3 linked regions of the Arabidopsis thaliana genome follow. The protein of the gene in region 2 interacts with the protein of the main gene of each other region in a pairwise test. Each region holds a gene or a part of one and is shown on either strand. Other genes may lie near its edges.

The links.
Region 1: the proteins of AtHB23 (region 2) and HB33 interact in a two-hybrid assay, tested with the Arabidopsis thaliana proteins (one study listed by BioGRID).
Region 3: the proteins of AtHB23 (region 2) and HB28 interact in a two-hybrid assay, tested with the Arabidopsis thaliana proteins (one study listed by BioGRID).

Annotation. Positions count from the first base shown.
Region 1 is NC_003070.9:28,239,162-28,242,920, forward strand, and holds HB33 (homeobox protein 33), read left to right. Parts: upstream 1-1,849; 5' UTR 1,850-2,240; intron 2,241-2,317; 5' UTR 2,318-2,414; coding exon 2,415-3,344; 3' UTR 3,345-3,634; downstream 3,635-3,759. UniProt on the Arabidopsis thaliana protein: Putative transcription factor. Binds DNA at 5'-ATTA-3' consensus promoter regions. Regulates floral architecture and leaf development. Regulators in the abscisic acid (ABA) signal pathway that confers sensitivity to ABA in an ARF2-dependent manner.
Region 2 is NC_003070.9:9,353,720-9,357,478, forward strand, and holds the start of AtHB23 (homeobox protein 23), read left to right. Parts: upstream 1-2,107; 5' UTR 2,108-2,406; coding exon 2,407-2,512; intron 2,513-2,593; coding exon 2,594-2,964; intron 2,965-3,229; coding exon 3,230-3,520; 3' UTR 3,521-3,759. UniProt on the Arabidopsis thaliana protein: Probable transcription factor.
Region 3 is NC_003074.8:18,914,001-18,917,759, forward strand, and holds HB28 (homeobox protein 28), read left to right. Parts: upstream 1-2,013; 5' UTR 2,014-2,305; intron 2,306-2,412; 5' UTR 2,413-2,419; coding exon 2,420-3,169; 3' UTR 3,170-3,386; downstream 3,387-3,759. Other genes in the region: AT3G50880 (DNA glycosylase superfamily protein), read left to right, coding at 1-330.

The sequences.
Region 1 (3,759 bases), about 19 Mb from region 2:
AACGCATGGATTATTGCATTTGACGTTGTGATATATATTCTTGTATTTTCCATCTTCTCAAAGTAACTAATATGAATGTAGAGCCAATTAGAACAAGCATTAATTAATGAAATGAACTAATCTGCATGTCTAATTATTCACACGTACGTACGCATAGATAATTTGTGAAACTAATTAGACTATTAGTCGTATATTGATGAACGTACTGATGAGATATCATTACAGTAGAGCCTGTGATTAAGCTTTCAATAGGAAAACATCTCCATGCTAGGACGACATGGTCCACAAAATATGGCTTTCTTGAGTATTATTAATCTTGATGAAGACTATACAAGTTGTATTATACTTGTAAAAACATTTTAATAATAACAAGTAATTTTATATAGTATATTAAAAGGAAAAGTAAAAAGGGGTAGAGTGAAATAGGAAAGAAGAAAAGACATGAGTAAGAAGAAATGGTGTTTGGACAAATTAGGGTTTGAAAAAAAAAGATTAAGGAGCGAGAGAGAGGGATGTAATAATGAAGAAGGAGGGAAGAGAGAGAGAGAAGGGGGCCCATAATGTGGCAGGGCATGTGGCTGGGCTTCCAACTTGACCTTGTCGGTTGTTCTCTGCACTGCCCTTCTCTGCAACCCACACACCTCTCTCTCTCTTTTTTCTTTCATTTTAAAATGAATATATCTCATTATTTCATCTTAATTAAGGAAATTTAGCTAATTCAAATCATGTAGTTACTTTGTTTGTGCTAAATTATGTCTACAGATAAGAGTATTATCCAACAGTTTCAAGGTATATAGTGACAAAAACACAATCTATATAGAAAAATAGTAAAATACAGAAACAAAGATTACGTAATAAGATTATCCGATACCATCAAGTTACTACATATGATCCATTTGGCACAAATTACAATGTTTTAGTTAAATTAATATTAGGTTGACTATTAAAATTGTTTAATATAGTATGCTTACAAGAGATTAACTATTTGAACATACAAGCAACAGTCTAAGCCCATTTCGGTGCATTATCCAGCTTTTTTGTTGTATAATTTTTCTCCAATTTTCAAGTAGTACTATATTTTTGCAAATTTATTTATAGTAAACGCGTTAATGACGTACTGTACACAGTAAAAATGAGCTCATAAAAACCCGAGATAGAATGTCAATTATTGCATCAGTTTCATGCGAGTTACACATATTACGAAATTTTGTGCTTCAAGTTACTATTCAACCACTATGTGTTTAGAGTAGTACTAGACCAATCAATTCATACAAAAATAAATCATTTGATTCAACGAATATTAATTATGCAATGTTAAGAACTACTAAAACTTTTTGGATACTCTCATATAGAAAAAAAAGACATATATAATCAGGAGGACACTCTATCGGACTCGCATTAACTTGAAGATTGAACTCAATATAGCCAGAAGTACATCTGTTTCCAAAAAACTGTGACAAATTTCCACATATCTTAAAAAAATTACAATTATTCCTGTTAACTATAGAGTAAAAATAATAATTAATTAGCCAAAAACCACAAAATAATAGTTTCCCATATTATTATTTTTCTGTATATTTTCTTTTTCATTTTAATCTGTCTTTATGATTAAGTTTGATAGTAAAAGGGTCAGTAAATAAACTACAAATCACATTCTGCTCTAAAGTACTATAAAGTAACAATATTATAGGATAAATCTCTTGTAAACACACACAAATAATCGAAATAGTAATTCAGAAATTCTCTTCTCATTAAAAATATAGAAGCCCTCATAAATATATATAAAAAGGTTATAAAAGCGCATTTAAAAATATAATACTAAAATGATAAATACAGATTAATGGAAGAAGTATAATAAAGAAGTACTTAATAAGTATAAGTATATAGTAGTAGGGTATGACATTAGTGTCATCTCTCACAAAGGGCTCAGCTCTTATCTCTTTCTCTCATGGCCTCACCACAAGCAACCAAATTGTCTCTTATAATCCGATCTCAAAGGTTGGCTTGTTGGGAGCACTGAGACATCAAACATGGTTTCTTCTTTCTTTCACTCTTAAAAAAACCAATTTAGCCCTAAAAACCTCCTTTTAGTTTAATCCCAAAAGTTCCTCAAATCTCTTCTATTCTCTCTCTCTCTCCATTAAAACCCTTCACAAGCAAAAAGCTTTGAGCTTTAAATGAGTTTAAGGTCCTGCAAAAACTGGGTTTTTCCTCGTGTACTTGTTCATCTTATCTCCTCTGTAAGTCTCTGATTCTCACTGCCATTTAGTTTTCTTTTTTGCCTTATTAGTAATCTCATTATCATGTTCTTTTTCAGGCATAAACTTCATTGAAGAAAAAGTCTTTTTTATTTTGTTGATCTCTTTTAATTAAGATCCTTTTGGGTTTTAATTTATTAATCTCCAAGAAAAAAAATGGATATGAGAAGCCATGAAATGATAGAGAGAAGAAGAGAAGACAATGGCAACAACAATGGTGGTGTTGTTATTAGTAACATCATTAGTACTAATATTGATGATAATTGCAATGGTAATAACAACAACACTCGTGTCTCTTGCAACTCTCAAACCCTAGATCACCACCAATCCAAGTCTCCCTCTTCGTTTTCCATCTCCGCCGCAGCTAAACCCACCGTAAGATACCGTGAGTGTCTAAAGAATCATGCGGCGAGCGTCGGCGGAAGTGTTCACGACGGATGCGGCGAGTTTATGCCGAGTGGTGAAGAAGGAACAATCGAAGCTCTCAGATGCGCTGCTTGTGATTGTCACCGTAATTTCCACCGGAAAGAAATGGACGGCGTTGGAAGCTCGGATTTGATCTCTCACCACCGTCATCACCACTACCACCATAACCAATACGGTGGAGGAGGAGGGAGAAGACCTCCGCCGCCGAATATGATGCTTAACCCACTCATGCTTCCTCCGCCACCGAATTATCAGCCGATTCACCACCACAAGTATGGAATGAGTCCTCCCGGAGGAGGAGGAATGGTGACGCCGATGAGCGTTGCTTACGGCGGTGGAGGAGGAGGAGCTGAGTCGTCTAGTGAAGATCTGAATCTGTACGGACAATCAAGCGGAGAAGGAGCTGGTGCGGCGGCGGGACAAATGGCGTTTTCGATGTCGTCGTCTAAGAAAAGATTCAGGACAAAGTTCACGACGGATCAGAAGGAGAGGATGATGGACTTTGCGGAGAAGCTAGGGTGGAGGATGAACAAGCAAGACGAAGAAGAGCTTAAGAGATTCTGCGGCGAGATCGGAGTGAAGAGACAAGTCTTCAAAGTTTGGATGCATAACAACAAGAACAATGCTAAGAAACCACCAACACCAACAACTACTCTCTAATCAGTGATCATATGATTAATTGAGAGATTATGTAAGAGATTTTCTTTTAATCTACTTTTGTTGTTGTTGTTTATTTAATGTTTTCCTTCTTCTAGGTTTTTGTAGTTTGTACGATCTTTGGATCAATCAATGGATCTTTTGTTTGCTTAGTTAATGTTTTTAATTTTGGTTTGCCTTTTTTTTTTAGTCTTTTTATTTTATTTTGTTTGTCTTTTACCCGGATCGTACTTGTAATCAGCTTCTGTTGCTTCTAGTTTATGCTTCTGTCTTTTTTACATTTAAGCTTAACACAAACAATTCTGCTGTACTAACTTAGATAGCCAAATACAAAACACTATAATTAACATTTTAATACAAGAAAACAAAATAATAATAATGCAAACATTGTAAACGTATAATGCAGCCATTATAGTAC
Region 2 (3,759 bases):
CAAATATGTTAACAAAAGAGCCTTGGCCCAGTTCCTGGCTAGACTTCCTTTCATTTTCTGTTATTTTTTTTTTGGTAAACCAACGGGAGGGACTGCCGTCTTTATTCAATAGAACCAAAAATAAAAAATTACATGGGCACATGTCTAGCCCCAGCAACACCTGCAGCATCCTCACGCATAATCGAATCGACAAACGGAAGACCTGAGTCAAAAGAAAGAAAGCCTAAAAGTAAACTAAAAGCATAGTTTGCTAACTCGTCAGCAAAACGGTTAGCTTCCCGATAAACATGCGAAACTCGGACTATCCAGTCCTTTGATGAGAAGCCATAGCACAAACGTACTAGGAATGACAACAGATGAGAGTCTTCTATCCCTGTCGTGAGAAAACCAGCCACCAATTTTGAATCTACCTCAAGCTCCAGCCGCGTTATACCCTTCTCCCAAGCTATAACCAACCCGTAGTACACACCCCAAAGCTCTGCTAACGGAGCCGTGCACCGCCCTAAATTCAGGGCAAAACTTCCTCGCCAATCCCCGTACTCGTCCCGCAAAGCTCCTCTTTTTCTGTTATTGTAGTGTGTGATTTGGCTTGTTCTCGCAAACATATATACCAACATTAAACAATACTCAAGTTTGTCCCCCCAAAAAAACTAATACTCAAGAAAATATACAAGTTGTTTTTCCATTTCAACAATTGGCCTTAGCCATATGTGTATACTACAATTTAAGATTGCATAATACATTAAGAAGGAATAGGCTTGCAATGTGATTTTTTATTAAGCAAAAAAATGAAAAAATATATATTTTGTGTACACCTTTTGATACTAAATGAAAAATTGAGCATATTTATTTATATGCGTTTGTTTGTATGTCGTTGAATTGCACTTTTCATATCTCATGCAACATAAAAAATTCATAGAATAAATAGTTTATGCTTTTAGATAAATACAATTGAGGTTAAAACACACAAAAAAGAACAACTCGTGGTAATTTATAAAATAGTTTCAACAAAAATATTTAAACTTGTAGAATATAGACTTGTTGATTACAAAATGATTTGATAGGGAGACCAATTTATACAGTAGTTGGGCCTATATTAAAGTATTTTATCATAAAACCGACCAAAACGTCTAAGAAAGTTGATAAGTGGGGGACCTGAGAAAGAGAAGAAGAAGAAGGAAGAAACCGGCCTCGCATATAAAATGGGCTTTGTGTCAAAACACAATCTGCGGTGATGAAGAGCTTTTTGTGTCCCCCGAAAGTATGTTTACCTACCATAGAGAAAAAGTCATGTTATGTTGTAAAAGGTTTTAAAAAGAAGAAGTCTAATCATATCATAGACTAGTGAGAGTTACCATGTAGGACCTTAGAGTTTGCTTTCATTTCATATCATTGAGACATAGACAAGTGATACCATGTAGGGCCTCTAAGAGTTTGCTTGCATATACTTCTTGACGACCAAAATCACTAGTTTTAGTTCTCGTTAGAAATAAAATTCCATTGACTTGAACACTTATGCATGCAACCATCCAAATGCTTATGTAGGGCATGCTGTTAAAAGAAATTTTAATTAGATATCAACTTTGAAATATTTCATTAAGAATATCAGTTTTTTTTACATATCATATTTAAATTCAACTCTTTTTTTGAAGAGAAAGTGGTAAGAGTATCTAGATCTATAAACTCCCAAAATTTGAAGTATTTGTTACAAATACTCAAATTGTTCATTACGGTACATATTTAATTATACACATCTGAATTAAATATATTCACAATAAATTAATTATGATAATCTAGTGGTTGAAAAAATTACTATTAAATTGAGTGACCATAATCTAATCAATTCACTGTAATATCAATCATGGTTGACCACTGTAAACATCTTAAATTGCAAGAATATGCTATCTTTCACAATGTCCGGAGATTATTATGAATTTCGTTTCAAAAATTCTATAATAGAAAAATATACATATATAATTAGTATGACTATGATATATCTGTCTTTCTATTCGTAAAAAACAAGAATTATCTTTAAAAATACTTGATATGAAAAACTACATAGTACATATCCGTAATCTACCAAAACGGATACAACGTAGTAAAATTAGGGATTTTCCAAAACATACAAAAGCCCATATTCCACCCCTCCAAAGACTATAATCATCCCATGTCTACCTCTCTGTCTCATCGGCTTTGAGTCTTGTCTCCTATTTTATATACTCATATAATAAACAAAATAAAACCAAATTTTCTAATCTAGCTAGTATTTAGCCTATAAGTGGTGTATACTCAGTCTTCTAATTCATTTCACCACCATCCTTCTTCTTCTTTATTTAGTTTTCTTTCTGTACTTTGAACCAAGACAAGGTGGTGGAGAGGAGAAGAAGAAAACAACCAACAAGAGACATGTCTTGTAATAATAATGGCTTAGCTTTCTTCCCTGAAAATTTCAGTCTCCAAAACCATCACCAAGAAGAAGAAGATCACCCTCAACTTCTTCAAGACTTCCATGGTACATCATCTCAATTAACACCTTTGTTCAAAATTTCTAATCCTTTTTTTTTCTACTTCTCAAGATCTTCTCTGTTTTTAGGGTTTCTAGGTAAAAGATCTCCAATGAACAACGTGCAAGGGTTTTGTAATCTAGATATGAACGGAGATGAAGAATATTCAGACGATGGATCTAAGATGGGAGAGAAGAAGAGGAGATTGAACATGGAACAATTGAAGGCACTAGAGAAGGACTTTGAGCTTGGTAATAAACTTGAATCAGATCGAAAATTAGAGCTAGCTCGTGCCTTGGGATTGCAACCTAGACAAATTGCTATATGGTTCCAAAACAGAAGAGCTCGATCCAAAACCAAGCAGCTTGAGAAAGACTATGACATGCTTAAGCGTCAATTCGAAAGTCTCAGAGATGAGAACGAAGTTCTTCAAACTCAAAATCAAAAGCTTCAAGCTCAGGTAAAAGCAGAAACTTCATAACACAAAAGTACTCTGTTTCTTTTTTAATCTTAAATACTCTGTTTTTTAAATCATATATTTCATAAAATATGAATCTTTTTTAGTTGAATTTTATAAAAACAATGCTCTTTTTTGTTTTTTATTGATGTTATTCTTTCAGTTTCGAATTCATAATTTGGAATATATTTGTTTTAGGTCAAAACATAATTTGGAATCATTTTGCAATTTTACGTTCTTTCTTAAATAGTTTGTGTAAATTATGCAGGTAATGGCATTGAAAAGCAGAGAACCAATAGAATCAATCAATCTGAACAAAGAAACAGAAGGATCATGTAGTGACAGAAGTGAGAACATTTCTGGTGACATCAGGCCACCGGAGATCGATAGCCAATTCGCCCTAGGCCATCCACCGACAACTACAACGATGCAGTTTTTTCAGAATTCATCGTCAGAACAGAGAATGGTGAAAGAAGAGAACAGTATCAGTAACATGTTCTGTGGAATTGATGACCAGTCTGGGTTCTGGCCATGGCTTGACCAGCAACAATACAATTGAATGTGGTCGATCTGTTCTTGTTTGTATTAAAATTTTCGTTTTCTTTAAGTGGTCAGATGAACCAATTCATGTTTCAAGAATCTATATTTAGTCTATATGCACCAACTAAGCTAGTAGTTTTTTTGGGTAATGTGATGTAAGAGAATTAATGGGGGAAATATTCATCATATTATATGATAATTAATCAATCATATGGGCCATATGATTAGACATTAAAAAAAGTCTGAACCATGTGCTTT
Region 3 (3,759 bases), on a different chromosome or scaffold from region 2:
CTCCACGATCTAGCTGATAAATACAACAACGGTGTGCTTTCTGATGAATTGATTCTGAAAATGAGTGATGAAGAGTTGATTGATAGGTTAACTTTGGTTAAAGGAATTGGAGTGTGGACTGTTCATATGTTTATGATCTTCTCGTTGCATAGACCTGATGTGTTGCCTGTGGGAGATCTTGGTGTGAGGAAAGGTGTGAAAGATCTTTATGGTTTGAAAAATCTTCCAGGTCCATTGCAAATGGAGCAGCTTTGTGAGAAATGGCGTCCTTATAGGTCTGTTGGTTCATGGTACATGTGGAGACTAATCGAGTCTCGTAAGACCAAATAGCACCTGCCTGGTAATAGTTTAACAATACCTCTCTTTTTAGGTTGATAGTAACTAGAATTGTTATGTTACATAGACAAACTTGATTCTTTATAGAATATTTCATGCTTGACTTGGAAATTTGAACAGTTACATGATTAGAAAGGATAGGAGTATAACATTTGTTTGACATTAAGTTCTCTGGATTGGTTTTTGTTTGGAATGCTTTCTAGAAGTAGAAATCTCCCAAATCTTAAAACAAGAATCATAAAGTATTTATCTTTTCTTGATGTATCTTGTTTATCTAGCAATAGTATCAATCCTAGTAAGTAACATGACGATACTTTATCACTGAAGCTTCTATATCTGGTAGTTATCGTTGAAGTGTGATTTGTTGCAATCAATCATTTCAGTAATCGGGCAGTTAATATGATCCTGTGACGAAGAAGCTTTTCCATGCCCATCACTTCCTTTCCAAGTTTCACTTGCTGGTAATCTGAGTTATTTTGTGTCTGTAAATTATGGAGCACGTAAGAAAAATCCTTCTTGTATTTTAACTGTATTCCACGGATTATATTTCTGTGACTGTTGTAAACATGTATCATGTATGGGGTTTCATTTGACTTGGATATTGAGAAGCATGGCTTATTTACCAAGTCTTTTGTTTCTGTCTTGTACTGGGCTTGGCCCAATGTCTCATCCGGCCCAATTGATCAAGTGGTAGATAGCTTGGATCTGATTTTGCCAAGACAGATGTGAAATCAACCCTTGCTTTCTTTTAACTTAAAATAGTTATAGGAAGAAATTACTCTTATTCAGAGAGACGAATTTAAAAGTCTAAGATGTCACGCGTAACATTCAAACCTCTTAATAAAAGTTTAGTATATGGCTAATCTATTCCCGTTGATTGATTTCAATATTTGGTAAGAAATGAAGATGATCATAAAAGTGCTACACAGCTGTGGGAAACAAAGAATCTGAAAAATGAGACATGAGGCATGTGGAGATAAATAAAAGTGCAGGTTTTGTTGTGCTTATGTGGACCAGCTTTTCATTCTTTCACACTTTTAATTCTTCAACCCTCCCCACCAGAAAAATAATTTATCATGTCTTCTCTTTCAAGACTATCATTAAACTCTGATTGTTAAAGCTTATTTCATTAAACAACTCTATTAGAAACCCTAATTCCATTTGTATGGGAAATTGAAGCTATAGTAGTTAACTTCTAACTCCATGCAAACCATAAATACCTCTCATAATGATAGTAAGAGTATTATTTTCTCATTGATTATCACAATAAATCTGATCAAAGAATTTGTGGAGATCGATAAATAAAGATACTCCTACTATTATTATGACAGCATAAAGGATTGACAAACATTGTTGTTCGAAGTTTTAATCTATTTTATGATATGTTAGAACTTAAAATCATAGTCCTAAAAATTTATAACTAACAATACATAAGACATAATTTTAACTTACATTAGAAAAAAGTTTTGAAAACTAACCCATTTAACTAATTTAAAATAATCCCATAACTTTCCTCTCATTTATCTCTCTCTCTCCACTCCTCAAGTCTGTACTTAGTAGGTAATAGTTTGACTAAGCTAGGTTTTTTTGCAGACATACATTAATTAGTAACACCATCAATAATCATCATAAAAGAAAATAGAGAGAAAGAGAGATAAATGCAATAATGGGAGATGGACCAAAGGTGCAGGTGGTGAAAGATAACAAACATATGACAATGTCTCGAAATTAAGAGGCACCACCACACATACACACACACTCTCTCTCTCTAGTAGGTTTGTGTTTTTAAAATCAATATTTTTGTTGGATTCTCATGTGAAATAAAACTTGATGGGTGATAGGAAACAAACACACATACGTCATCATCATCCTTAATTTCTATTTCTCCTTCTTCTTCATCATCAATATCAATCTCATCTTCCACTACTCCTCCCCTCTAACAATAAGCAGCATCTCTATAATCCCTAAGGTGAGTCCAAAAGTCGTCTATTAATTATTAAAGGAGAGATTTTTGCATGCATTATTGAATGATTTATAAGTATTAATATTTAACAAAGTTTTGTTGTTTTGGGTCAGATTCACAATGGAGCTTGGAGGAAAATGCAATGCAATTACAACCACAACAATGATCTCAACAGAAGTAAAGCCACATACGGATCCGGAACCAGAAGCCAAACCCGAATCAGATCCATCCATGGCTTTATTCCCGATCAAGAAAGAAAACCAAAAACCAAAGACACGTGTCGACCAAGGAGCTAAGTACCGGGAATGTCAGAAGAACCACGCGGCCTCAACCGGAGGACACGTGGTGGACGGATGCTGCGAGTTCATGGCCGGCGGAGAAGAAGGTACACTCGGTGCTTTAAAATGCGCCGCCTGTAACTGTCACCGGAGCTTCCACCGGAAAGAAGTGTACGGACACAGGAACAGTAAACAAGATCATCAGCTGATGATAACTCCGGCGTTTTACAGCAGTAACAGCTCGTACAAGCCACGTGTAATGCATCCAACGGGTGAGATTGGACGGAGGACTTCATCTTCAAGCGAGGATATGAAGAAGATTCTGAGTCATCGTAACCAAAACGTTGATGGGAAAAGTTTGATGATGATGATGATGAGGAAGAAGAAGAGAGTGAGGACAAAGATCAATGAAGAACAAAAGGAGAAGATGAAGGAATTTGCAGAGAGATTAGGGTGGAGGATGCAGAAGAAAGATGAAGAAGAGATTGATAAGTTTTGTAGGATGGTGAATCTGAGGAGACAAGTTTTTAAGGTTTGGATGCATAATAACAAGCAAGCAATGAAGAGAAACAATAGTAACATTAGTGAATAGTTTGATGATCTGATAAAAGTGAAATAAATTTTTACAATCCTGTTTTGCTTTTATATATAATTTTTGCCCTTCAAATTATTCAAAATCTTGAGTATAAATCTGTGGAATCTTGTATGTTTTGATTGTTTTATATTGTATCTGGGATTATTTTTTTCTTTTACTTAATTTGTGGTTGAACAAAGTGATAAAATTGGACCTTCAAATAAAGAGGGAAAAACGTGTGTAATTAATAATTTAATGCACAAGTATGGTTAGTACAATTAGCTGGAATAGCTCAGTTGGTTAGAGCGTGTGGCTGTTAACCACAAGGTCGGAGGTTCGACCCCTCCTTCTAGCGTTTTTTATCCTTCAAATGGCTGTTTTAAAATTCTGATTCATACTTTTTTTTTTCTGTCTGAATAGAAAGTTGATTTTGTTTGAAAAATCTGATTCATAATCATGTACATGCATGATAACAGTCTGATGTTAAACCATCGTAAGGAGCAGATTTAGCATTCTAGAATAGATCTATTCTGCTTACTTTTACCCCAAATTTAGATTTTTCCATGATTAATATATTGTTAGATATGGATCAGACAAAGAAGATTAGT